Ovis aries: one gene and its partners. The protein of the gene in region 7 purifies or fractionates together with the protein of the main gene of each other region. This does not show direct contact. Links are inferred from orthologs where the notes say so. Each region holds a gene or a part of one and is shown on either strand. Other genes may lie near its edges.

The links.
Region 1: the proteins of CDK8 (region 7) and MED8 purify together in Homo sapiens (affinity purification with mass spectrometry; 7 studies listed by BioGRID and IntAct, counting the BioPlex papers as one, with this or other methods). This does not show direct contact. The link is inferred for Ovis aries from reciprocal best matches to the Homo sapiens genes CDK8 and MED8.
Region 2: the proteins of CDK8 (region 7) and MED7 purify together in Homo sapiens (affinity purification with mass spectrometry; 7 studies listed by BioGRID and IntAct, counting the BioPlex papers as one, with this or other methods). This does not show direct contact. The link is inferred for Ovis aries from reciprocal best matches to the Homo sapiens genes CDK8 and MED7.
Region 3: the proteins of CDK8 (region 7) and MED18 purify together in Homo sapiens (affinity purification with mass spectrometry; 5 studies listed by BioGRID and IntAct, counting the BioPlex papers as one, with this or other methods). This does not show direct contact. The link is inferred for Ovis aries from reciprocal best matches to the Homo sapiens genes CDK8 and MED18.
Region 4: the proteins of CDK8 (region 7) and MED25 purify together in Homo sapiens (affinity purification with mass spectrometry; 8 studies listed by BioGRID and IntAct, counting the BioPlex papers as one, with this or other methods). This does not show direct contact. The link is inferred for Ovis aries from reciprocal best matches to the Homo sapiens genes CDK8 and MED25.
Region 5: the proteins of CDK8 (region 7) and MED12L purify together in Homo sapiens (affinity purification with mass spectrometry; 3 studies listed by BioGRID and IntAct, counting the BioPlex papers as one, with this or other methods). This does not show direct contact. The link is inferred for Ovis aries from reciprocal best matches to the Homo sapiens genes CDK8 and MED12L.
Region 6: the proteins of CDK8 (region 7) and MED23 purify together in Homo sapiens (affinity purification with mass spectrometry; 10 studies listed by BioGRID and IntAct, counting the BioPlex papers as one, with this or other methods). This does not show direct contact. The link is inferred for Ovis aries from reciprocal best matches to the Homo sapiens genes CDK8 and MED23.

The regions. Positions count from the first base shown.
Region 1 is NC_056054.1:18,067,155-18,071,196, forward strand, and holds the start of MED8 (mediator of RNA polymerase II transcription subunit 8), read right to left. Parts: upstream 2,801-4,042; 5' UTR 2,779-2,800; coding exon 2,773-2,778; exon of another isoform or gene 1,684-2,772; intron 1,438-1,683; coding exon 1,319-1,437; intron 313-1,318; coding exon 168-312; intron 1-167. Other genes in the region: KICSTOR complex protein SZT2, read left to right, coding at 2,957-2,983. UniProt on the Homo sapiens protein: Component of the Mediator complex, a coactivator involved in the regulated transcription of nearly all RNA polymerase II-dependent genes.
Region 2 is NC_056058.1:66,390,428-66,393,546, reverse strand, and holds part of MED7 (mediator of RNA polymerase II transcription subunit 7), read left to right. Parts: intron 1-2,569; 5' UTR 2,570-2,586; coding exon 2,587-3,119. UniProt on the Homo sapiens protein: Component of the Mediator complex, a coactivator involved in the regulated transcription of nearly all RNA polymerase II-dependent genes.
Region 3 is NC_056055.1:238,803,761-238,807,797, reverse strand, and holds the start of MED18 (mediator of RNA polymerase II transcription subunit 18), read left to right. Parts: upstream 1-1,237; 5' UTR 1,238-1,385; exon of another isoform or gene 1,386-1,396; intron 1,397-2,171; exon of another isoform or gene 2,172-2,236; 5' UTR 2,237-2,242; coding exon 2,243-2,315; intron 2,316-4,037. UniProt on the Homo sapiens protein: Component of the Mediator complex, a coactivator involved in the regulated transcription of nearly all RNA polymerase II-dependent genes.
Region 4 is NC_056067.1:55,925,195-55,928,694, reverse strand, and holds part of MED25 (mediator of RNA polymerase II transcription subunit 25), read right to left. Parts: intron 3,454-3,500; coding exon of another isoform or gene 3,356-3,453; exon of another isoform or gene 3,322-3,355; intron 1,669-3,321; coding exon 1,424-1,668; 3' UTR 1-1,423. UniProt on the Homo sapiens protein: Component of the Mediator complex, a coactivator involved in the regulated transcription of nearly all RNA polymerase II-dependent genes.
Region 5 is NC_056054.1:237,452,519-237,456,018, forward strand, and holds part of MED12L (mediator of RNA polymerase II transcription subunit 12-like protein), read right to left. Parts: intron 1,243-3,500; coding exon 1,131-1,242; intron 1-1,130. UniProt on the Homo sapiens protein: May be a component of the Mediator complex, a coactivator involved in the regulated transcription of nearly all RNA polymerase II-dependent genes.
Region 6 is NC_056061.1:57,044,705-57,048,204, reverse strand, and holds part of MED23 (mediator of RNA polymerase II transcription subunit 23), read left to right. Parts: coding exon 1-71; intron 72-1,706; exon of another isoform or gene 1,707-1,905; intron 1,906-2,137; coding exon 2,138-2,249; intron 2,250-3,500. UniProt on the Homo sapiens protein: Required for transcriptional activation subsequent to the assembly of the pre-initiation complex. Component of the Mediator complex, a coactivator involved in the regulated transcription of nearly all RNA polymerase II-dependent genes.
Region 7 is NC_056063.1:33,370,270-33,373,769, forward strand, and holds part of CDK8 (cyclin-dependent kinase 8), read right to left. Parts: intron 2,942-3,500; coding exon 2,798-2,941; intron 326-2,797; coding exon 256-325; intron 1-255.

The DNA of each region.
Region 1 (4,042 bases), on a different chromosome or scaffold from region 7:
ATTGAAATAGGACAGAAGGACAAAAAGCAAGGCCTCCAAAATGTAGCCCCCACTTATTGCCACACACTACTGCATATTCAAAATTTCTAGATAGAAACCAACCACTGTGCTGTCAGTCCTCATTTAAGGGCTTTGTTTCCTAAGCTGCATCCCTCTCCTCCTCTTACCATGAGATCTTCATCTCGGTCTGGGGACAACACCAGAGGGATGATGACCTGGTTGCGGAACAGTGGTGTCTTTTCATGCTTCAAGACCTTGTTCAGAGTGTTCAGCTGTCCAGAAAGCAAGGCAAAGCTGTCCAGGACAGATGGCCTGGTGGTGGTAAGAAGATGTCAGCATGTTCCTGGTAAAGGAGCCTCAAAGGGGTCCCTCGGACTAGGAATAACCAGACTCACCCCCAAAACACTCATAGCCCTATGCTGGCCTGGGCAGGAACTAGACTGGCTCGCAGGGATTATGGGGTTAAGAAAGAGGGATACACTTTGAGTTTCTGACACAGATGGAGAAAAAAAACAGGTCATTATAGCAATCCCCACTTATCCTAAGTTTCACTTTCTGAGGTTTCGTCTACCCGTGTCAACCACAGTCCAAAAATATTAAATGATAAATCCAGGAAATAAACAATCCATGTTTTTAAATTGGGAGGTGTTCTGAGGAGTGTGATGAAATCTTGCTTCATCCCACTCTGTCCTACCCAGGATGTTGATCACCCCTTTGTCCAGCATATCCATACCGTATACGGTACCCACACAAGTAGTATAGAAAAAAAAAAACAACAACCCACAGTATATACAGAATAGGATTCAGTACTATCATAGTTTCGGGAATCCACAGTGGGTCTTAGAACTTACCCCTGATAGATCACGAGGAGCTACTACATTTGAATGGGGTGAGGACAATGGCAAAATAGGAACGATGGCTACACTATTATCACTAGAACTTCAGAAACCGGGTGAAAGATCCCTTTCCAGATCCAAACTTTCCTAGATTGGACCTAAAAGACTTGGCAAAACCCGTGCAAGAAATCCAGTATGAATACTGTGGTGGGAGGACCCACTGCAGGAGGACCTCATCCTGGAGAAGTCAAACAGGGAGAATCAAAAGCTAGAAAGAACCTGGGTTGAGAAATTGGGCATTTCTCTACTACCCTTAAAGTTGAGGTCCAAGGCCAACTTCAGTGTTAAATGTTGGGAAAGCCAGCTCTTTCTAAATCAAAAGATGTTCACAAAGTGATAAATGCTGGAGGAGGTACCCTGTGCAGCAGGTGGCCTAGCCCCCACCCATAGAGCCCTCCCCAGCTTGCCCTGGCAACTCTTACCAGGTCAGCCGGTCATACTCGTTCTCCAGCTTGTAAATGAAACTCCCCAGTGAGTTCTTCAGATCAGCCACTTGACTCAGCAGTGCATCTAATGATGCCTCAAGCTGTTTTTCCTCCCTCTGAGCCAATAGGAATAGGTTGGTTACTCAGCTGAGTGTAAGGATGACACATATAGAGGAAGGCTGAAAAGCCAGGGTGACAGTGTGCAACACCAGGACAGTGACACAGAATCTCATTGGCACAGGGACAGTCAGGCTGTTTCTGTCTCCTGTCAGCCGGGCTCCACCCCTATTTGGAGTTAGGATCACAGACAGCATCAACCCTTAGACCTTAAAACCCATTCATCTGACCTCAATTCCTCTTACCTACTGATTCCTTCCTCTCATCGCTTTTAATCCGGGCGTGACTGTTTCTCTATATTAGGCTTGGTTTGTATCTGTTCTCCCTCACTGGACAATTTTCACCAGACGTAATGCCTGGGATTTATTCTGTTCGGCACACCTCAGCAGCAGACGTACTCTGACGTCCTATGTTCTAGAACCTGCCTTGTGAACCTGGCTGTTCTTGGCAATGACATAATCTCTGAAAACCTACCTATACAGGAAGGCTCCTCTGAATACTGCCACCGTCACCTTCCTCTTCCCTCAGCATTTGCTGTTTCAACCTCCTCCTTGCTAAATCAATCTGCACTCACTTTATTGCTGTGCCAATATTCCTGTGCCCCTTTCGCAAGCTTAGTCAACCTATAAAAATGTACTGACAACTACCCTTCTGCAACAAACAGTGACAAATGAAAAACAAAACAAAACAGCAACCAAACCGCACATGCCCCTAAGCACTAGGCAAACTATATTAAAAGCTGAGGGGTCTCCAGTTTTATCTCATTTCACCCTTTAACTACTAGGGGTACACACTAGGAAGAATGAAACAGAACTGCAAAACCCCGAATGTGGAGGACACGAGCCGGGTTCCACCCACGGCCTCAGATTATTTAGTCTGGCTTCTGGCCACCACGGTCCCACAATTCCTTCCACCCTCGGGCTTCTCTCCAGTTAGATCCTCTGTTCTGTCAACATCCAACGTCTAGGCCGGGGCCTGAGCCCGAGCCCAATCCACCTCTTTCTTCAGCCGTCTTCCTTGGACTGCACCTTCCCAAATTTCAACTTGATCCTTTTCCACACCCTATCAACAACTTGATCCTTTTTCCACACCCTAGCAAGACAGTGCTGCCTTCTCCGTCCCAACCTAACCGCAGTTTCTGTCTCCTGTCAGCCGGGCTCCACCCCTATCCCTCTCCAGAGGTCCTCGTCCCCATCGCGCGTCCCTTTATCTCACAGTCGCGGTCTCGACCAAGTCCTCTCATCCCTAACTCCTCACTCTCTCCTCGGCCAGCCCACTTTCTGTCTCGTTACCCCAAGCTAGCTACCCGTCGCTAGCGCCAAACCGGTCCTCACCTGCATTGCTGCGGCGGGGGGCGGTGTCAATCACTTCCTCTTCCGGTTCCCAAGTAGGCCAATTAGAAAGCTCAGAACTCGACCCTCCCACTCACTTCCGGCCCCGCCAGTCGCGAGACCTCCGGGTCAGGGGTCAGGAGCGGAGCATCTTCTCTGGCCCGGGCCGGCGCGGGAGGGCTGTGTGATGGCCTCGGAGCGCCCGGAGCCGGAGGTGAGGGGCGGGCGGGCGCAGCGCTGGGCCTGTAGATCCGAGGGGGAGGGTCCGGCGGCCAGGCGCGGCCGTGGCCTCCTCCGGGTCTGGGGGCCGCCTGGCCCTCCTGAAGGCCCAATAGTAGCATCTCCTCACCCCTACTTTCCTCGGGGAGGCCTAGAGGAGGAATTCGTGGCTCAGTTTTGTTTGCCGAAATTTAATCCACGATTCTCTACTCTAGGGCTCTTGGGTTCTTTGACCTCGTAATGGCATTCAGAAAATCTGTATTTTGATCTTCTGTTGCAGTTTCAGTGGGCAGGTTTGCCGGTTGCTGCCTCATTCAAATATTATTGGAATGCCATAAACAGCATAAATTAATTAGGTTCTAGCGCTCATGCAATTGGAGAGCAGCTTAGATTTCATGAAAAAACGTTGGATTCAGAGTGAAACCTCGTTCTGGTATTGGCGCTGCCCTGTAGCTATCTGTGCAACTTTGGGCAAATCTTGACTTCCCGGATCCTGTTTCCTTCTTTGTAAAATATCTATCTTCAGGTCTATTGTGAGGATCACACGTTTTAAATGGGAAAATGCAAATGAAGCATCCATTAAGTACGAAGGACCATGCAAGGAACTTTTGTATACATTGTGTGGTTCAGACTTGTGCAAGGAAGGTGACAATACCCATTTCCATATACAGACAAACTAAAAATCGAGGGAAGTGAAGTACCTTACCCAAGTGCTACTCTCAGCTGGGGAGTGGCAGAGTTTTGTAATTAGAAGTCTAAAATGTCAGATTTGGAAAGAAAACATCACTAGGAGAGTTGCCCAATGTTACAGGAGAACATGTGAGTGGATGGGAAGGGTGAGAGGTGTATAATCATGTATTGAATCCTTACCTATCGAATGCTTACTGTGTCCCAGAGACCATCTTAGCGCTTTACCAATGTCAAAGATTACTCTCAACCCTACACAGTAGACACTTATCCCCATTTTTCAGTTGAGGAAACTGAGGCACAGAGGTTTTAAGAGTAACAAAGTTGCACAGCTAGTAAGTGGCAGAGCCAGGACTCCAAAACAGGT
Region 2 (3,119 bases), on a different chromosome or scaffold from region 7:
GCAAAAATCACACCTGGGCGAGAACCACTGATAGAAATGCTAATAAAAGCTATGCAGTTGACTGAGGTCATCCCAAGAAGAACATAAAACAGAGGCCTAAAACTAGTGGGTCGCAGACCACAGAGGTTGTTAGAGATAAATTCTTTTTGACTTCACAGTACTTGACAGATTCCAGAATTAATTGCTAGTATTTTTAAAAACTGAGAAATTCCCCATAAAAATCTGGATTTTTCCTTCCTTTCTTGAAAAATCAAGACTAAGGTGCAGTGAATCTTAATTCATGAGTGAATGGTAGTGGCTGGAGGCTTTGAGGTCTGGCTTGGAGTTGCTCTGTTCTCTCTAATCCCTGCCCCTGCATGTGTAACTCTATATTCCGTGTCTTTTCCCTTTGGCTTTTGAGTTTGTGACTCTGTAGGACACTCCTCTATGCATGCCAGCATTAAAACTTGGATAGAGAAGGAGGAGCAGTAAAGGAGACTGAGAGGGAGCCTCCAGTAAGGTAGGAGGAAAACATAAATGTAAGATCACAGACGCTGAGGGAGAAGGGGACTTGGTTGAAAAGAAGAAAATGGTGCTGAGAGATTAAGATCACCTTAGAAAAATGTCCATTGAATTTGGTCATGTGATTGTTGATTAATTTGATTAGTATTTGTGGAGGAAGGAGGTTGATTCCAGATTGGATATTGATAAAAATGGATAAACAGAAAGCTAGTAGAGCAGTGAAGTGTAGCTTGGTATAGTTAGAGTAACTCATCACAGTATCCAGTTGACTCCCAGTAGTATCCAGTTCACCACTATAGGTTGGTGGAAACTCAGGACTGCCCCATAGTTGCCCTTAGTAACTCAGAAATTCCAAGTATGAATCTGCCTCCAGTATATTACTTGCTATCTCTGATGTTGGATTGTATAATTAAATCTTGAAAATCTGGTAAGATTAGTCGAAATGAGCACTCAGGATCTTCTCATTTTATGATATACCTAAGCTTAAAATGGAATAGATAGAGGTTATTGTGGTTATTGAAGATATATTTGAGTTTGAAACTTCTGTAGTGGATGTAGAAAAGTTAGTGAATCTATAAAAATTTGTAAAGTATATTGTAGAAAAAAAAGAAGTTGAATTGGATCACAGAAGCTCAGATGATGTGAGTTTGTTTAGACTAGAGCAGTGTTAATTTTGTCAGTGTTCCTTAGAGTTACAGGTGTTTGTTTTGGAAATCAATCTGTAATATAAAACAAGTGATTATAACATGGAGATGGGGAGACAGCATGTGTAGTTTGGCTGTAGAGAGGATAGAGAAATGAGGCATAACTGGTGAGGGGTGTGGAATCCAGACTGTTTCACTTATAGATGAAAATATAGTTGACCCATGAACAACTGGGAGGTTAGGGATGCCCAGCCTCTGCACAGTATAACTTAGAATTGACCTTTTGTATCTGTCATTCCTTCTTATTTGTGGTTCTGCATCTGAGGATTTAACCAAACATGGGTCTTGTTTTTACTTATTTACTAAGTCATGTCTGACTCTTGCAACTCCATGGACTAGCCCGCCAGGCTCCTCTGGGATTTCCCAGGCAAGAATACTGGAGTGGGTTGCCATTTCCCTCCCCAGGAGATCTTCTTGACCCAGGGATCAAACCCACATCTCTTGTCCTGGCAGGTGGGTTCTTTATCACTGAGTCACCAGGGAAGCCCCATAAATCTTGTAGTACTCTAGTATTTACTATTGAAAAAAATCCACATGTGAGTGGACTTTTGCAAGTTCAAAACGATGTTGTCCAGTGATCAGCTATATCAGTTCAGTTCAGTCGCTCAGTCGTGTCTGACTCTTTGCGATCCCATGGACTGCAGCACACCAGGCTTCCCAGTCCATCACCAACTCCTGGAGCTTACTCAAACTCATATCCATGAAGTCGATGATGCCATCCAACCATCTCATCTGTCGTCCCCTTCTCCTCTTGCCTTCAATCTTTCCCAGCATCAGAGTCTTTTCAAATGAGTCGGTTCTTCACATCAGGTGGCCAAAGTATTGGAGTTTCAGCTTCAGCATCAGTCCTTCCAATGAATATTCAGGACTAATTTCCTTTAGAATGGACTGGTTGGATCTCCTTGCAGTCCAGGGGACTCTCAAGAGTCTTCTCCAACACCACAGTTCAAAAGCATCAATTGTTCGGTGCTCAGCTTTTCTTTATAGTACAACTCTCACATCCATACATGATTACTGGAAAAACCATAGCTTTGAAGGTCAGCTGTATACTACAGTAGTTTTTTGTGCTGATGAAAATGTTAAGTAGAGCTGGAAAAATACTTGAATGATTGAGTATATAATGCTAATTAGAGAAGGATAGCAGCTTTTCCCTGTTGTAAATGTTAGTTTTAGAGATGACGGAGATAATTTTTGTCTTGGGCACCGAACAGCCATGGGAGAATAGGGAAAATATTCTGTCATTAATCACTGAATGTGACAGGTTTGTTTTGTAGCTCCACTCTCAATCTTTGGTCTCTTTGTGTGTGTGTGTTTGTTATGTTTTGTTTTCCTCTTATTTTTTGTTTGATGGTTTATTTCTGTAGGTTCTTGATCTTCCACAATGGGTGAGCCACAGCAAGTGAGTGCCCTCCCACCCCCTCCGATGCAGTACATCAAGGAGTATACAGATGAAAATATTCAAGAAGGCCTCGCTCCCAAGCCTCCACCTCCAATAAAGGACAGTTACATGATGTTTGGCAACCAGTTCCAGTGTGATGATCTTATCATCCGCCCTTTAGAAAGTCAGGGTATTGAACGACTTCATCCTATGCAGTTTGATCACAAGAAAGAACTGAGAAAACTCAATATGTCTATCCTTATTAATTTCTTAGACCTCTTAGATATCTTGATAAGGAGCCCTGGGAGTATAAAACGAGAAGAGAAGCTAGAAGATCTTAAGCTGCTTTTTGTACATGTACATCATCTCATAAATGAATACCGACCCCACCAAGCAAGAGAGACCTTGAGAGTCATGATGGAGGTGCAGAAACGTCAACGTCTTGAGACAGCTGAGAGGTTTCAAAAGCATCTGGAACGAGTCATTGAGATGATTCAGAATTGCTTGGCTTCTCTGCCTGATGATTTGCCTCATTC
Region 3 (4,037 bases), on a different chromosome or scaffold from region 7:
GGTGTTTACAGCTCTCCAACATGTTTACTTCCAAACGCGACCATCCTTTCTTGATGGGAACAGTGGCCACCGAAGTCCAGTGTTTTATTCCATGAAACTGGTTCGGATCGGTTGAATTCGATCCAGTGAAACCAACAGACCCTCCCACCAGAGACAGATGAGATTCTGGCCTTTATTAAGCATACATGGTGAACACCTAGTCCTGGCTGTACTTGGCAACCCTCCTTCTGTTTTGATTCCCACTCCTCCCAACATGTGTGTACTTTTGACCTACTCTGAGCCGGAGTGAGTGAAGTTGCTCAGTCGTGTCCGACTCTTTGCGATCCCATAGACTGTAGCCTGCCAGGCTCCTCCGGCCATGGAATTTTCCAGGCAAAAGTACTGGAGTGGGTTGCCATTTCCTTCTCCAGGGGATCAGACGCTTTACCATCTGAGCCACCAGGGAAGCCCACTCTGAGCTCGACTCCTGATCTATTCGAGCGACCTTGTCCTGTCTACAAATGGACAGGCAATAAGATGACTTTAACCCAGAAGCAGCACCTCAGCAAGGGAAATGAAAACATCAGAAGCCAAACTGATGTAAGGTGTGGCGGCGGCGGTGGTTAGGAGACTGAGTCCCACTGAGGCGGGTTGCACGCCCCCCAGGAGGCGCAGGTGGGCCCCACCCCAGCCCCGCGGGGCCGCGCACGCCGGCCGGAGGGAGGGGCCAGATGAGGACCAAAAGTCTCCAAGCGCAGCTCTTCCTTAGGAGCGGGAGCTGTTCTGAGTGAACCTCCGGCCGTGCCCTCCTCCAGGGGATCCTCCCGACCCAGGGATCCAACCAGAGGCTTCTGTGTCTCCTGCAGGCAGATTCATTACCGCTGAGCAACTGGGAAGTTCTATCATCAGATACCCACCCAAAATAAGTTTCTGTTTTACGACAATCTCTCCTCTTTTTCTGAAGCTCTCTTCCCCAGGGTCTCTTTGTCCTTTCAGGTCCAAGAGATTTCCTGGACAAAAACACGTCCAGGTCTTCACAGTTGAAAAAAATATTTTCCTGGAAGATGGCGTATGACTGCAATGCCGCCTGAATCTCCCAAAGGACCCCTCCTAAGGAGGCCGCCATCTTCCGTGCAGCATCGGAGTTTGCGCATGCGCCCCTGCTTGCCGTACAGCGGAAGAGACTTTTTTTGTCCTCTCGGCACCCTTACGTCGCAGAGTGGCGGTGTCGAGGTTTGCGCGACGAAAGGTTTTTGTCAGACGTGGGAAGAGGCGAGAGAATTGTTGCACTGCCTAGGGGTTTTCAAGTTTAGGGCTGGGGGTGGTGATTGTTGCTCGAAAGCTCCGAGGTGCTCGGGTGAATACGGTCCCCCGCTTTCCTGGAAGAGGCTGGAACGCGCTTGGCGGTGTGTTTTTGGTATAAGTGGGCACGTTTTGATGCTGGGTTTAGGAGGCCCTAAAGCATCATTGGGGCTTCCCTAGTAAACTCAGACGGTAAAGCATCCGCCTGCAATGCAGGAGACCCGGGTTTGATCCCTGAATTGGGAAGATTCCCCCGGAGAAGGAAATGGCAACCCACTCCAGTATCCTTGCCTGGAAAGCCCCATGGATAGAGAAGCCAGGCCTAAGTCGATGGGGTCACAAAGAGTCGGACACGACTGAACGACTAACACAAAGCATCAGTGGAAAGAACTTCGTGCTTTCGCTTCAATCTCTTTAAAAGGTTTTTAGAGAGGTGGAACGCCTAGATTTTAGTCTGGTATAGGTTCTGCCACCCACCTATTGTGTGTCCTTAGGCTCCTCCCCAAGCCTCAACATCCTCATCTGTAAATTGAAGGGCATACAAGAGTCCTTAAGTCACTTTTCAGTCTTTAGTTGCAGGTCCATTATGTCATCTGAGCCACAAAGACTTGGGGGTTAATATCATGGCCTCATTTTAGAAGAAAGACATTGAGTCCCAGGGTGCACAGAAAACCATTGAAGGGTTTCAGACCTTGAGACTGAAAGATTATGCTGTAACTCCATGATCAGGCCTCCTTTGTGTATTTCTGGATCACCTGAAACTGGCCTATAGCAGTTACTAAAGTTTTGAATGGGTGGATGAATGAATTTTCATCTCCAGGCCAATGACCCAAGCAGATCTGGTCTCTCTCTGCCTCTCCCATGTATTAACAAGTATAACTCTTCCCCAGGTGTATCCTGTGTGTTACCTGACTGGGGATTCCAAATCTAGTTCTGTCGTTTTCAACTTAAACAGATAAACATGGAGGCACCTCCAGTCACCATGATGCCTGTCACCGGGGGCACCATTAACATGATGGAGTACCTGCTGCAGGGTAAGTGAACTAGGGAGCTTGAATTACCTGTTTTCCTGTTTTCTGTTCCGCTTTCCATGGAGATGAGAGGCTGTTATATAAAAGCTACCTGCATAATTTCTGGCACCCTTTTATTCCCCAATTTACTTTTAATTATGGTCACAAATACATAACATTAAGTTTACCATATTAAACATTTTTAAGCATACAGTTCAGTAATGTTAAGTATTTCACATTGTTGTATAGCTAATCTCTAGAACTTTTTCATCTTGCAGAATTGAAATTCTATTCCTGTTAAACACTAATTCCTCCTTTCCCCTTGCCGTAGGCCTTGGCAACAACCTTTCTACTTGATGTTTCTAATTTTGACAACGTTAGATAACCTCATAGGAGTGGAAGCATTCAGTATGTGTCTTTTTATGACTGGCTTATTTCACTTAGTATAATATCCTCAACATTAACCCTTTCGCATGTAAGAGAATCTCCTTTTAAAAATCTGAATAATGTTCCACTGTATGTACATACCATATTTTCTTTATTCGTTTGTCTGTCAGACATTTGGATTGCTTCTACCCAAATTGTTATCATAGATAATACTCAGTGAACATGAGTGTGCACATACCTCTTCAAGATCCTGCTTTGGATTCTTTAGGAGTGAATGCCCAGAAGTGAGATTAATAGATCATATGGTAATGTTATGATACTGTTATTAGTTCCATCTTCTAGATCAGGAAATAGAAGTGAAGTAACTTTCCCAGATGAGAAAGCTCAAGACCAGGGAGGGTTATGATTTTCTGGAGGTCATTTAATCTTTAGTGGAAGAATTTAGACTTTAATTCAGATCATCCGTTTAGTAACTTACAATGGACAAAATAAAATTGTTAATTGCACTCCTCAATCTGCCTCTACTTCAGCCTTTCCCATCTCAGTAAGTGCCGCTGTCAGTCATCAGTTGCTTAAGCCATGCATTCAGGAATCAATCTCAGAGAAAAGAAAATAGAGTCTATGGGGTTGCACAGAGTCGGGCACAACTGAAGCGACTTAGCAGCAGCAGCAGCATGGCATGCAGGATCTTAGCTCCTGAACCAGGGATGAAACCTGGGTCCCCTGCATTGGGAGCACCAAGTCCTAACCACTGGATGACCAGGGAATTCCTGTGAACAGTCAGCCTAGATTTCTAGATCTAGTCATCTAGATGTCTGTTTCTGACCTTTTGCCATATTTGCTCTATCTTTTTCCTTTTGCCGTTTTTGAAGACAGATTCAGATCTCGTAACATTTTACCCCCAAACACTTTCAGTATTCATCTCTAAAAAAGCAAGCGTATTTTCCTTAATAACCCCAATACTATCATTATTACCTGAAAGAGTCATAGTATATTTCTGATATCATCTAATATATAATTCATATTCAGAAGTTTCCTCCATCTTGTGTTTTGATCCAGGGCATAATATCATCTCATGCATTACATATGAAAACCGTGTCTCTTAAGCCTTTTTTAACTTGGACCCGCCTCCCCTCATTGCCACTTTTTTTCATGTGACCCTGTCTGGTTGAAGCATCCATACCAATTTTCCTAGAATGATCTTTTTAAAATGTAAATCCAGTCATATCTTTCCTTGTTGCATGGAGAATAAAGTGTGGAGCTAATAACTGCCCAGTGGCCGTACAATAAAATACAGCCTTTAGCATGGGCGACACATAAGTCCTGCCTGCTTTGGCCCATCCCAAATGCTCATTTCAT
Region 4 (3,500 bases), on a different chromosome or scaffold from region 7:
AGAAATATTTAATTACTAAATTTTTTTGTTTTCTCTTTCGTAATTCTTCTGCTCCCTGGACTATGAAGCCAGGGGGTGGGTCTCATCCATGCCACCCCTGGATGTCAAGGGTTGGGTGGCTGAGAACTCGACCTGGACTCCTGAAGCTGGGGGCAGCATTGAACTTGATTTCAGTTATGTAACGGAAAACAGCTGCTCACAAGTGTGGGCGCTTCCAGACACGGGATTCAGGCGACTGCTGGAGAGCGGTGAGGGCTGTCGTCTTCTGAGGCAGCCCACTGCCCTAGAGCTCAGCAGCTAGTACTTGTGGTCCGTGCTCACACGATCGACAGCAACCAAGAAAAGCAAATGGGGCAGTGTTCGTTCGTTTTCATCATGTCTGGAGGCCGGGAGCCTTGGGGCAGTTTGATCTTTAGCCCCACGAGTTGAGTGGACGCTGTCCAGGCCATGCCCTTCATTTCTGGAGACCATCTGCATCCACGGAAAGGGAGTCAGAATACTCCCTGCCGATGGCGTCCCCATTTCTGCCTGGACTGGGTGAACATGATCATACATTCAAGTAGCTGTTTGTAAATGTCCTTGGGAGAACAAGTGTTCAGAAGGGTAGGAACTTTGACCCAAAGTCTCTGACTGACCTTCTCAGGGGGACCAAGGTGTGGCTTCTGGCTCACCTGAAATGAGCTAAGTTGATGGACCGCAACAGTTCAGACTGCTTCCCCATGTCACAAGGTCGCAGAGCTTCTATAAAACACACTGGGTCAAGTTCATCACCAGCCTGCCCGTGGTTAAGGTACAAAACCCTGTCACGGATGCCGTGTCGTGTGTTCCACTGACCTCTCACGGCAAAGTCAGTGCCTGGTAATTGATGCGATGACCTGACTTGAGTCTCTGCCAATGATGTCCCCTCGGATGGAGGCGACCCGCCTGCATCCCCAGGGACATGGATGGTTTGATCACCACCGCAGTCTGTAGCTGTGCTTAGGTGTTTAGACCAGCTTTCGTGAAAAGTGTGTTTCTCTTGACACACAGAAAACAAGTCACTTCCCAGGGTCGGGCCTGCCTCGGCACCATGTCACAGCTTTCTTCGGTCACATCGAGATTCTCCACGCCACAAATAAATAAAGCTAACTGGGTGGTGATAGTTCATGAGCAGCGATAGTAAAGGCCACGACTGATCTGACTCGGTCAAGCAACTGGATGTGTCGATCTTCAGGTTTCTCTTCCCCTCCCACGAGACGCGGATGCCTGCTGGACTCAGACGATGGTCCAAGCAGACGAGGGTTTCTGTCCGGGGGGCGTCTCTTCGGCTCCCTTATAAACTGGATGTCCGTGGGCTGGAACGCCCGGGTGATTCGCGCCATGTGGCTCCTGAGCCTCGAGCGGCAGCCACGCCGCTGCTCCCGCCGGCTTTCCGAAACCGGCCCTACTGACACTTGAGGCCCTTCTTCAGTTCATTGAGAATTGCGTCTCGCGTCTGCTCCGTGTACTGGTCGAAGCTCTTACTGTGCTTGGATTCATAGTGACGCTTCAGGTTGTATTCTTTCAACACAGACACGATTTTTTTGCATATTAAGCACGTAGGCATGCTCTTCACCTCCACAAAGAAATAGGCTCGCTCCCATTTCTCTCGAAACACGTGGCCCTCTCGTTCTCTCTTTCGTTTTGCCACTTTTGGTAGAGACATGGGTACAAGAAAGATTTCACTGTCTCCGAATACTACCCCGGGGACACCAGCCGTGCCAGCCCTGTGGCGAAGGCGACAGCCTTCTGCCTCGTGGTGTGGGGGTCAGGAGGGAGTGGTGGGGACTGTGGCGAACCAGAGAGCACACGCCCCGTGCAGAGGGACGGCTCCAGCCCGTTGTTTGCTGGGCGGGAGGGTGGACCCAGGGGAGCCAGATCTTCTGACTTGTCAAGAGAAGACAAGACTACAGATTTTGTGTGTGTATGTGTGGGTGTTTGAGAGAGAGAATCATCCTGATTTTTACAACTAACTCATTAGGGAAAAAAATGCCACATAGCCTAACACAGGGAAGGCCAAACAAAACTCATCTGTAGAGTGGCCCAGGGGCCACCAGATTGCAACCTCTCTCCTGGGAGGGGATCTGGGCATCTGATCCTAACAGGCATCTCAAACAATGCGGACACTGGTGGTCCACCTCTAGACCACACTCTGAGCATCACTGCTCCGGGGTCAGTCTGACAACAGACAACTAAGTCTCTGCTCACAGGCCAGAGCAGCTGCCCCTTGGATGTCTCCCTAGGGACAGCCTCGGGCCCCTTGCCTCGTTACACCCCAAACCTGTATCTCCTCCTCACATCCCCACCGTGTCTCCCATCACTAAGACGGCCTCACTGTCCACTCTGTCCAAAGCCCCAGAAGCCTGGTCTCTGACTGCTCTTGCCACGAGACCTCTTCCGTTCCTGTGTCTTCAACCACCAAGCACACACGCTGCGCTAAGGACACACCCTGGGCTCCCAGCGTGGCCTCGGTCCCTCCGATGTCCCAGACCATCAGCGATCACCACTGGCTCCTTCTCCCGGCTCCTGCCTCAGGAAGGCCCGCCGTCTACCAGCACCCAGGCCAGGTCCTGGGGACCACCCTTGACCCCACCCTACACCCGCAACTTTTTCCACATGGGCACGCCAGTTTCTGGCCTCACCCCTCCTGCCCCCCAACTCTGGCCGCTCCTCTGTGCTCTCCCTCCCCACGAACATCACCCTCGGCTCCTCCCTGCCTCCTATCTTGCCCCATCACATCCCGCAGCCCACAGGGGGCTGACACCCAACCGACCCGGGCCTGGCCCCCGGGCCTGGCCTCCTGCAGCCATTCCGCACCCCCCGGACAAGCCTCCAGCTGCTCAGTTTGGAATCTGAGCTCCCTCCCCGCCTCTCCAGGCCCTCCTTTCCCACCAAAGGCTCGTGCTCCCAGAGGCCTCAGCTGACTTGTCCTCTGACCATACCAGGCTTCCTCCTGCCTCAACACGTTCCTGTCATCTCGGCACCTAGACTGTAACCACCTTCCCTCACGGCCTTGCTGACTGCCGCTCACAGACCCCAGCCTGGCTGGCCCACAGGCCTCCTCTGGGCCTGCCTGGTACCCTCTCTACCTCCATAGGTGCTCGTGGTCCTATGACCTCTGCCTACAGCCTCCTCACCTCCCGGAAGCCAGGCTGTACCAGATGGCCTCACTCACCGCTGAGGCCCCGGCCTCACCAGCCCGGGGCCTCAGGGGCGTCTGTTGAATCGAGAACAAGGGCAGAGGTGTCTCCCCCCATCTCCTCCTGCCCAGTCCTGGGGGATGTCAGTGACGGGAGCCGGGGCGTGTGTTAAAAGGAACTTTATTGGGTGTCGGGGTTCAGATGAGGTCCATGAGGATGTCGTCCTCCATGACGCTGGGCTGCAGGCCCGGCTGGGGGACCGGGCCCCGGGGCCCCCCGCTGAGCAGCATCTGACCTGGGGGGCAGTGGGAAGGGACTGCATCTCCCGGTGGTCCCTGGGGC
Region 5 (3,500 bases), on a different chromosome or scaffold from region 7:
CGAACACATACACACAATAAGAAACACTGCAACATTTTGGGGCACCAGAAAAACATGTGGTTTACACTTTAAAAGGATCACTCTGGCTGTTGTGCAGAGATAAATCTCACATATCCAAAAGGTAGCAGATGATTAGAGACGAATAAGTGTCTTGTTCAGGTTCATCCAGTACCATTAAAGAAGACACAGTATCTAGAATTAACAGCCGAGTGGGAAGGCTCCATTAGGCACTACTATAGGATAAAACATCTACTCACTCTTCTCCATTCTATACTTTCAAATTCCAGTTTAATCACTCAGTTTCCTCATGGCACACAGAACATATGTGTTTCAAATAGTGACCATGAGAATTACAGCTGGTGGAAAGGCAAAGTCCCAAATCTTTGTAAATGAACTAAAAATGCCTTCTGATTCAGCAATGAGTATCTTGTGCCCTGGGACTTCCCAGGTGGTGCTTGTGGTATAGAACCTGCCCTCCAACGCCTGAGATTCATGAGATGCAGGTTCAATCTCTAGATTGGGAAGACCCCTGGAGGAGGACAAGGCAATCCACTACAGTATTCTTGCCTGGAGAATCCCACGGACAGGGGAGCCTGAAGGGTTACAGTCCACAAGGTTGCAAAGAGTGGGACACAACTAAAGCGATGTAGCATGTGCAAGCATGCACACATCTTGTGCCCTAGACCAGCATCACTATAGTTCTGGCAGTAAAACTGGGTTTTGAACCTACAGAGCTCAAGCTGAGACTTTCCCTGCCATGTGGAAGCCCAGTAGAAGACCTGGAGAGAGGGCAGGCTCTCTTTGTTACTGACATGTGCCCTGCAACACAGACTGCTCCAGGAGCTCTCCTAAGAGACAAAGCTCTCTTAGGAGCAGATATGACAAAGTTATGTGCAATCTGCAAAATGTAACTTTCATAGACATCTGTCCAATGCCTAATTCATATTATACTATTGCTAATCTCATGGTGACCAGAATGCCAGGTAGGAGAACAGGACATGGGTGGTGCTTTCCTACATCTAATCAAAACATGCTTTGCCCTTATTAGCTTAAGCTCAGTGTTTGAAAGGAAAACAAATGAATGCCATTAGGAAAATACTTGCCTAGCTCAATATTCTACTGTACTTTACCTGGTTAACTTGATTCTGCAGAGATGTTAGAAGGCCTTCTCGTTGTTCATCTTGTCCCTTAAGGCAGGTAAGGACCAGTGAGAGGAATGGTTGTTGACTCAAAAGAGACATACTATAAAGGAAGTAATAACAGCAGATCTAGTTAGAAAGAACAGATTCCTTCCTGTGCAACACTGATTTCCTGCCCTTGGGTTACTGGCTCTTATTCATTTTACTATTAGAAAAGGGAGGGAAGTAGCAAATAGCCAAGACTACTTGAAAAGTTAAATCATATCTCTAACTAATAAGGTTTAAAACCACTGTAATGCTTCTAAATAATTTAATATGTTCTCTTGCCCTTGAAGGCATCTGCAAACGAGCATAAATTCATACTGCATCTGAGCGGGGGGCGGGGAAGGAAGAAGAAAATGTATGGTTTGTATCAGTAAACTGAATTTAAAGATACATAGCAGGAAGAATATCACTGTATACACAGAAAAAAAGAAAAACTTTTAAACTTCTCTCACGTAGTATTTGCATTTTGTTGTTGTTTAGTTACTAAAGTCACGTCTGATTCTTTGCAATCCCATATGCTTTAGCCCACTAGGCTCCTCTGCCCATGAAATTTTTCAGGCAAGAATACTGGAATGGGTTGCCATTTCCTTTTTCAGGGAATCTTCTCAACCCAGGGAGTGAAACTGTCTCCTGTATTGCCATAGATTCTTTATCACTGAGCCACCATTCTTATTTACAGTCCAGGAAACAGGCCTATTAGGATTGTTGTGCTTGTGTTGTTTTTCAGCACATTTCTCAAGGCCAATTAGATGGGCATGAGTAGAACTGAGATGAGCACCGAGGTCTAAGGCCTCCAAAACCATTCTGCTGGCCAGTGACCTAGTGCACAGCTCCACTACATCCCACAGGCTTGACTTGTAAAAGAGTTTTAAGATATTTGATTTTTAAAATTTATTTTAAATTGGCATTTTAGCCTTATTTCTTACATGATCAGAAACACCTGACATATTGATAAACTAATTTTTCTACACTGCAAAGAAAGATTTCTTAAAATGAGATGGAGATCAAAATATTTCAGTCCGCTTCATTTTACACTAGCAGAGCTTAGAGAGACTAACTTAGGAAGAGCCACCTTCAATCTCTGCAGTACCATCTAGGATTCCTGTGGGAAGTGAGGCAACGTACATGCCATCGTTAGCCAATCAACTGTGAGAATTAAAACTGAGTTATCTGGTTGGTTAATAAATACTGGCAAAGGCGATGAAGCAACCAGATGCCAAGCAACATATGTGCAAAGCTAGGCCAAAACCAAAATGTGCTTCAGTTAAGAGCATAGACTCAGAGGCCAGACCACCTGGGTTTCAGCTTCACACCTTCGTAGCTATGTGTCCTTGATAAATTTACTTAACTTTCTAGTGCCTCAGTTTCTTCTTCTGTAAAAAGGACATAATGAAAGCACCTCAGTATGACTGCTGGGAGATTTTAAAACTTCACATATGTATGTAATGAATTCTATATTGAGGATGACATTTCATAAGGCCTTAGTAAATGGCAGCTACTGATTAGGTCATTAGAAATCATTACCGACTAGGGCATAAGAAACCCAAAATGTTCAAAAGGCTCAGAGTTTTTATTTTTCAATGTTAGGAATTTCCTTTTACCTCTGAGGTACTAAATTCATCATGGTTTTACATTAGAATGTGTTTATGTTCTTTTTCAGTAACATAATCATTTTTCTAATATAATTACTTAAACCTTTTCCAGGCCACAAAACTTAAAAAACATTCAACTTGGAAGACTCAACTTGGAGGATCCTATATATTAGGATCTAGCCTAATATATAAGCTAGAACAAGAGCCCTAAATGTTAAAAATATTAGTAACTTATTTCAGGGTGCAGCATAATAGAAGTATAAATTATTCCATGAAATTCAAGTGCCTAAATAAAAAGAAAAAAACCCAAACAACTGCTGAATACAGGGACTGTGGATATACACACCTGATTCAGCAGGCCTGAAGCAGAGCTGAGAAGTCAGTATTTTAATAGTGCAGCAGTGATTAGGGTACACAGGCAGAATTGAATGCTGCTGCTGCTGCTAAATCACTTCAGTTGTGTCCGACTCTGTGCAGACCATAGACGGCAGCCCACCAGGCTTCCCCATCCCTGGGATTCTCTAGGCAAGAACACTGGAGTGGGTTGCCATTTCCTTCTCCAATGCATGAAAGTGAAAAGTGAAAGTGAAGTCGCTCAGTCGTGTCCAACCGTCAGCGACCCCATGGACTGCAGCCTTCCAGGCTCCTCCGTCCATGGGATTTTCCAGGCAAGTGTACTGGAGTAGGGTGCCATTGCCTTCTCTGGAACTGAATGCTAGTGCAT
Region 6 (3,500 bases), on a different chromosome or scaffold from region 7:
AGTCCTAAAAGAATTTCTTTTCTTTATGACTGCTTAGCAATGGCAGTCGAGACTGGTCTCCTTCCACCCAGGTATGGTTAATGATGAATATGAACAATCTGAAATATTTTCTTTTTTTTTAATTAACGTTTAGAAATTGGTTGAGGTGATTGTTGTAAAAGGATAAGAGAATAAAGAAGGCAGTTACAGTCAACAAAAAGTGCTTCGTAGTATCTCAGTTTTAATTTCGAGGATGCAGTATTCTTAAAATTGTATACTTCAGGTGCTCAAAACCAGGCAGGCTTTGCCTTTTAGCCCAGGGATTAAAATCACTCACTTTGACAAGCTTTTCTAGGTAGTGTTTGTTGTATTTGTTATAGTCACTTGTTTGTTGAATTTTTTAGATTCCACATATAAGTGATGTCATATAGTATTTGTTGTTCTCTGTCTGACTTATTTTACTTAGCATAATACTCTAATAGTCTGTCCATGTTATTGCAAATGGCAAAATTTCATTCTTTTTTTATGGATGAGTAGTACACTGTGCGGAGAAGGCAATGGCACCCCACTCCAGTACTCTTGCCTGGAAAATCCCATGGATGGAGGAGCCTGGTAGGCTGCAGTCCATGGGGTCGCTAAGAGTCGAACACGACTGAGCGACTTCACTTTGACTTTTCACTTCCATGCATTGGAGAAGGAAATGTCAACCCACTCCAGTGTTCTTGCCTGGAGGATCCCAGGGACGGGGGAGCCTGGTGGGCTGCCGTCTATGGGGTAGCACAGAGTCAGACACGGCTGAAGTGACTTAGCAGTAGCAGCAGTAGCAGTATACTGTGTGTGTGTGTGAGATTGAGAGGGACATCTTTATCCATTCATCTGTTGAGGGACACTTAGGTTGCTTTCTTATCTTGGCAATTATAAATAATGCTGCTATGACCATTGGGATGTGTGTATCTTTTCAGATTAGTGTTTTTGTATTTTTTAGTTATATACCCAGGAGTGAAATTCCTGGGTCAGTTCCAGTTAACTTTTGCTGCATGATGAATTGCCTCAATACTTCATGGCTTAAAACAGTAATAATCCTTTTATTATTAACATTCACAATTACAGTGCTTGCTTGGACAAGGAGTAGGAAGGATTTTCTCAGGTTTTGTGTTTGCAATCGGATGGTGGCTATGACTGGAGTCATGACAAAGATTTCCCCATTCATATGCCTAACTGTCACCTGAGAGACATCAGCTGGCACTATTGGCCAGAACCTGCATATGCCTTCTCTGTGTGACCTTGACTTTCTCACAGTGTAGTGGAGTCTAGGAGCAACCATTCATAAGAGGGCTAGGCAGAAGCTGTATCACTTTGCCTTGAAAGCCTTTCCATTTGCCAGTCTTGGACCTGCCCAAACTGAGGGATAGATTTTTGTTTCTACCCTTTTGACATTGATACTCTTCCTGGGAGGAGCATCAATATCACATTTTAGAAGAGCACGTGGGGTCGAAAGTCTTATTGCAGCCATCTTGGAAAAACACAGTTTGCCACTAATTGGTTAATGATACACATTTAACCAATAGCTTTTGGTACATTTCTTTCTAGCAAAAATATAACATAATTAATATTAGTTCTACTTTGGAGAAGGCAATGGCACCCGATTCCAGTACTCTTGCCTGGAAAATCTCATGGACGGAGGAGCCTGGTAGGCTGCAGTCCATGGGGTTGCGAAGAGTCAGACACGACTGAGCGACTTCCCTTTCACTTTCATGCATTGGAGAAGGAAATGGCAACCCACTCCAGTGTTCTTGCCTGGAGAATCCCAGGGACGGGGAAGCCTGGTGGGCTGCCGTCTATGGGGTCGCACAGAGTCGGGCACGACTGAAGCGTCTTAGCAGCAGCAGCAGTTCTACTTTAGGACTTCCCTGGTGGCTCAAGACGGTAAGGAGTCTGCTTTGGGTTTAGTCCTACTCTGGGTTAAGTCTTTCATATAAATAAAAAATATAAAATGCTTTATGTAATTTTTTGAAAGTGTGCTTGAGTAATGTACCTTTATGACAATTATTAGCACTTACTGTGACAAATATAATATCCAGAGTTTGTGGACCTTGGCTATTAGAGAACTTACAAAACTCCTGTCTTGTAACTGGAATGGGTATTCCTTTTTTTCTAGGATGGTTTGTGAATCCCTGATAAACTCTGACACACTTGAATGGGAAAGAACACAGCTTTGGGCCTTAACATTTAAACTGGTTCGGAAAATAATTGGAGGGGTGGATTACAAGGTATTGTTTTTTCTGATTATAAAAAGTAATCGCTGTCAGATACTAATTTTTCAGGGTCTATTAATTTCACAGAAGAGAAATGAAGTGGAAGCATTTATAAAATCTGTCTCTTTTTTGTTGTATTTCCTGAAAGAGTTTAAAATTGCCCAGTGTTTCCCACAGCTCTCTGCTCCTCTCCCAACAGTCTTAAAAGTGCAGGTGGCTGGTAAACTTCTGTGACAAATAGGGAGTCACCAGGCAGACTCGGTTCTCTCATGCCACAGATCTTATGATCGTGGGGCCCCTGTCCAGTGGAAAGGCAAAGAGCAGGGAGGTGTGGAACTGAGAAGGGATGCAGGCATCAGCTGACAAAGGGAGCAAGTCCTGCTTCACCTTGGCCACCTTGGGCACTGTCATTCCTTAACTGGTATCTTCAGCACTCTGCTCTTGACCAAAACCAATAGCACACACACTCTAATTGTGTCTCATAACACAGCTCAGGAGCTCCACAGCTGCAGAAGCTTCTGCTTCATTCAAGCCACTTTGGTTATTGTCTCTTGAAAGACTTGTGGATACCTGACCCTGTGCATTATATCTGTATTTTCACTGATCTCAAATGGTTTAACTGATAATTATTGGCCAGAGTCATGATATCGTACAAAATTAGTTCTAAGAAGCCTTTTCTGATTATTTTCTATTTACTTGTACTTCGCTTTCCTTAGCAGGTTAATATGTAGTTTTGTACAAATAAGCACCTTATTTGTATGGTGCTTCATAATTGTTTCTTTCATGTATATGTTCTGTCTTTTACAAGACTGATCACATAGTTTATACTATGGAATGAAATGTCTTCCCTGTGTATTAGATTCTGCTTTGAAATCATGCAACTGGTAATAGATCTGAATAGATGACCAGTTAGCAGAATAGCCTTATTGGCTAAGTTTGAGGGGTTAAAATATGTGATGGATGATGAGAAAGAGGGAATGAAGTTAGAATATATACCAAAAGGAAGGTGCAGAAAAGGTTGTCTGCCAAAAAGTTGAATATTTATTGTCCATGTTTTTCAGAGTATTTTCAAGTTCTTCCAAATATATTTTTGTCTGTTAAGCTCAAACTAAACTTTTTGGTCCCTCATAATAATAGAAACTTTTCTAATGTTATAAAGCTGAACGGAATGTGGAAAGTTTAATTTTTATCTATAAGTGATTTCCTTTGTTCATTCATATGGCAAGCCATTCTTTAGATAGAATTCTGCTTTGGAACATGACACTT
Region 7 (3,500 bases):
TGCAAAGAAATGAACTGACTTTTTTCCTCATAGCCAAATCAGCTGCTGATATTAGATATTCACCTTCTTGTATCACCATTCAAACATCTTAAGAAATGAAGACTACCACAATGCAAAAACATTTATTAGAGTAAATAAGTAAAATTATTTAACAGACTAGTCTTCTGTCAACTATTCTATCATGCTGAGTATTCAATCTTATCCTGAGTATTCTAGAAAAGCAAAAATCAACAGTCTATTTTCTTGCCAACTTACGTATTTCTTCTGAAATCTTTCATTAATGTTGAATGTTCAGGCATCTTTTTTATATCTTCCCAATCTTTATCTGTGAAACACATTGATACAATTTTATATTGTCTAGGTTCCTATTATTAAGAACTTTAATAAAGGTGACTTCACTTCTCATTACATGTCCTACATTTTAACCTCCCTGAAAGCACAGACTTCGAATAAATGGTGAGCTGCAATAAACATCTTTAACTGTAAATGCATTCTCCATATGCTGTTTTTAAATGTCTATTTTCTCTATGTTTTACTATAAGTTATCTCAGTTTTTATACTAAGACACCAACAAGTTATAAACAAATATTTCCATTATTAAATACTTTTATTTTTATCTGTAAAACCACTTTTGTCCCACCATGTCTTGGTTAATCCAGCAACCAATCTTTTCAACAATAAATGCAGTATCTTCCCCCTCAGCAGCTGTAAGCTGTCCTTTTTATACGGCCCTCCTTACGCTCCCCTTATTAAATACACTGCTTTACATGGTAATCAAGGTAAGCAGTTACAGCTGTCTGAAACACAGAGTCGGATGTACTAGCATATGAACAAGTCAGCTAGTATCTGGGCTAGTTTCAATAATAATAACAAAAGCAATCCCAGCTACCAGACCCATCAGGTGGAAACATCTTGGTCAGTTTTGCTGACATTAGAGTTACTCAAACACCACACGCGGTTTGAGAAGCTTGCTGTGTCCATTGGAGGAGTTACTGAGAGTCCACAGGTGCCCACATTCTCTACCAGGTAGCTTCATGGCACCTCAGCTTTTAAATGACCTCCAGAGGTTAGCTTCTCTCTCAACTGGCTTATAAAAATATCTGCTATCTAGCCTCCAGATACCACATATTGTAAACTAAATACATACTTTAAACTCCTAAGAGGAATTTTCTCCTTGACTACTTCCTTGTTCCAATTTCTTTATTTCTGTCAATTTCTCAAGTAGAAATCCTAAGATAATCTTTTATTTTTTTCTCCCAATTACAGGCTTACTCTAAAAAATTATACCATTATCCTTTCTTCTCCATCCAAATCACTTTACACGTGGAGTACTGCTGCAGGTAAAAGATGGTTTCCTGACTTCAGTTACCCCTCTTAAATTTTTACATACCCCTGCCATAGAAACCATTCTAAAGTAGAACACAAATCACAGCACTAGTTCTCAAGAACTTATCACAGATTCTCCTTCTTTAGCACATCAAATCTAAATTCTATTGCTTGGTTTTCAGATTCCCTATAAGCAGATCCCAAACGTGGAACCACGCCCTAAGAACCATTTCAGAACCATCTCCTGTGGAGGCCACCCCTCCTCCAAGGCCCTGTAAGTCAGGCTCCTTCCCCGGGGGACCCCTGAATTGATGAGTGCATTCAGAAGTGGGAAGAAAAGGTCATTCTTCTCCATCTACTCAAACTACTCCTATTCTTTCAACATTCTACTTAGAGCAGCTGAGTGTCAACTCCAAGAGGGCAAGAATCACGTCTGTTATATCAACAATATTTTACACTTAACACAGTGCCTGAAACATGGCAGGTGCTCAATAAATCTTTAGTGAATAAATGAAACTCCCATCTCAACAAAGCAATCTTTGTAGAAATGTTGGTCAATTCTGGACAAAGGTAGCTACTTTGCACTTACTGATAATTAAAGGGAATGTGAAATTATAACTCCCAGATATTTCTGTATTAGTTTTGAGCCACTGATCTGAGAAAAATTCCTAATAAGAAACAACGTATTGTTTCTTATTATTATTTCAATAAGTTATTGATATTTTAAATTATTAACATATTTATTAATAATAAACTTATTGTTTATCATTTCAATAAGAAGTACTTGACTAGCCAAAACTATGCAGGCGTTTCAAATGGAGAGTAATGGACTTCTGTTCTGCGGCACAAGGACTGGGCTGGGGCTGGAGCTCTAAAGCCCGTGACGAAATGCCCCAACCACCACCTCCCAGCGGCAGTCAGAGCAGGCTCACTTGCTGTGCAGGGCTGGGCCTTCACTCACATCCTGCCTGTTCTAACTGGAAAGGATGTTCTTACTGACAAGGGTTATAGAGCAAAAAATGCTACGATTCAATACAATGTGTTTCAAGTAGAAACAGTCTTCAAAATCTGTATTCAAATACCAAACAATGACATTATTATTAAGTGCTATCAGACAAAAAGACATGCTCCTGAATTCTATTCAGTTGCCAATGGTGAGAGCTAAAGGCACTTTTTAAACACAGATATTGCAAATATTTTATCATTTTAAATATTAAACAAAACAAAACCAAAAACCAAAATGAAACAAAAATACACTCCTCAAATTCAAGAAACCCATAAATATTTTTATGCTAATATGTGAACTCTACAAATTTTGCTATTTCTAAGGGTCTTTGATTAATGCAAGTCGTAAATATAAAGAACTGAGTAAGAGTAGCTTTCATCAGCTAAAAATACACATCCTTTCAATGAAGACATCTAAGTTCAAACAACAGTGATTTAAAAACAAAAACAAAAATATAATGTGTACCTGCAGGAAATCCCATTACATTGAATATTCTGTCCAGCTGGTCATGGTGATAAGGATTACTAGTTTTGATGTCCTCTTGTCGACAGTGAAATATTGGTTCTGACGTTAGTAGTTCTGCAAATATACACCCTATAGCCCAAATATCTTTAAAACAAAAACAAACAAAAAAAAAGAGAAAAGAAAAAAAAAAAAAAGAAAGGAAAAAAGAAAAAGAAAGGAGGAAAATAAAGTGGTTCTTTCCAAAAGAAAATGCATCTTTATCTTGGCAGGGAGTGTTTTTTCATTCTTTTTCTCCCCTAATAAGTCATATTAAATCCTAAGCAATTATAAATATAAAAAATGTTGTTTGTAAATATATATTCCCACCCCATCCACCCGTATTTCATTCCTTGTTATACCTCCATCCCACCCAGTGGTTTCATTCCAAGTTCAATCAAATTTATTATCTAAAATTTTTGGTGAGTTTAAGTGCTTCAAACATTACCTTATCTGTGAAATACATACAAAGCTGCACACAGGGCACAGGAACCATAAATAAATAAAACTAAACAAACAAACAAAAAAAAACAGAAAACCCAAACAGCCTTGGAAATTGGGCATACTTGCTGAAAACAATCAGCACCGTTTTTTGAGGTAAAAAACATTTTTTATTTTTTATCTAGTTTATGGACTTATTAGCTTGTAAAGTTTAATAATTATCCTC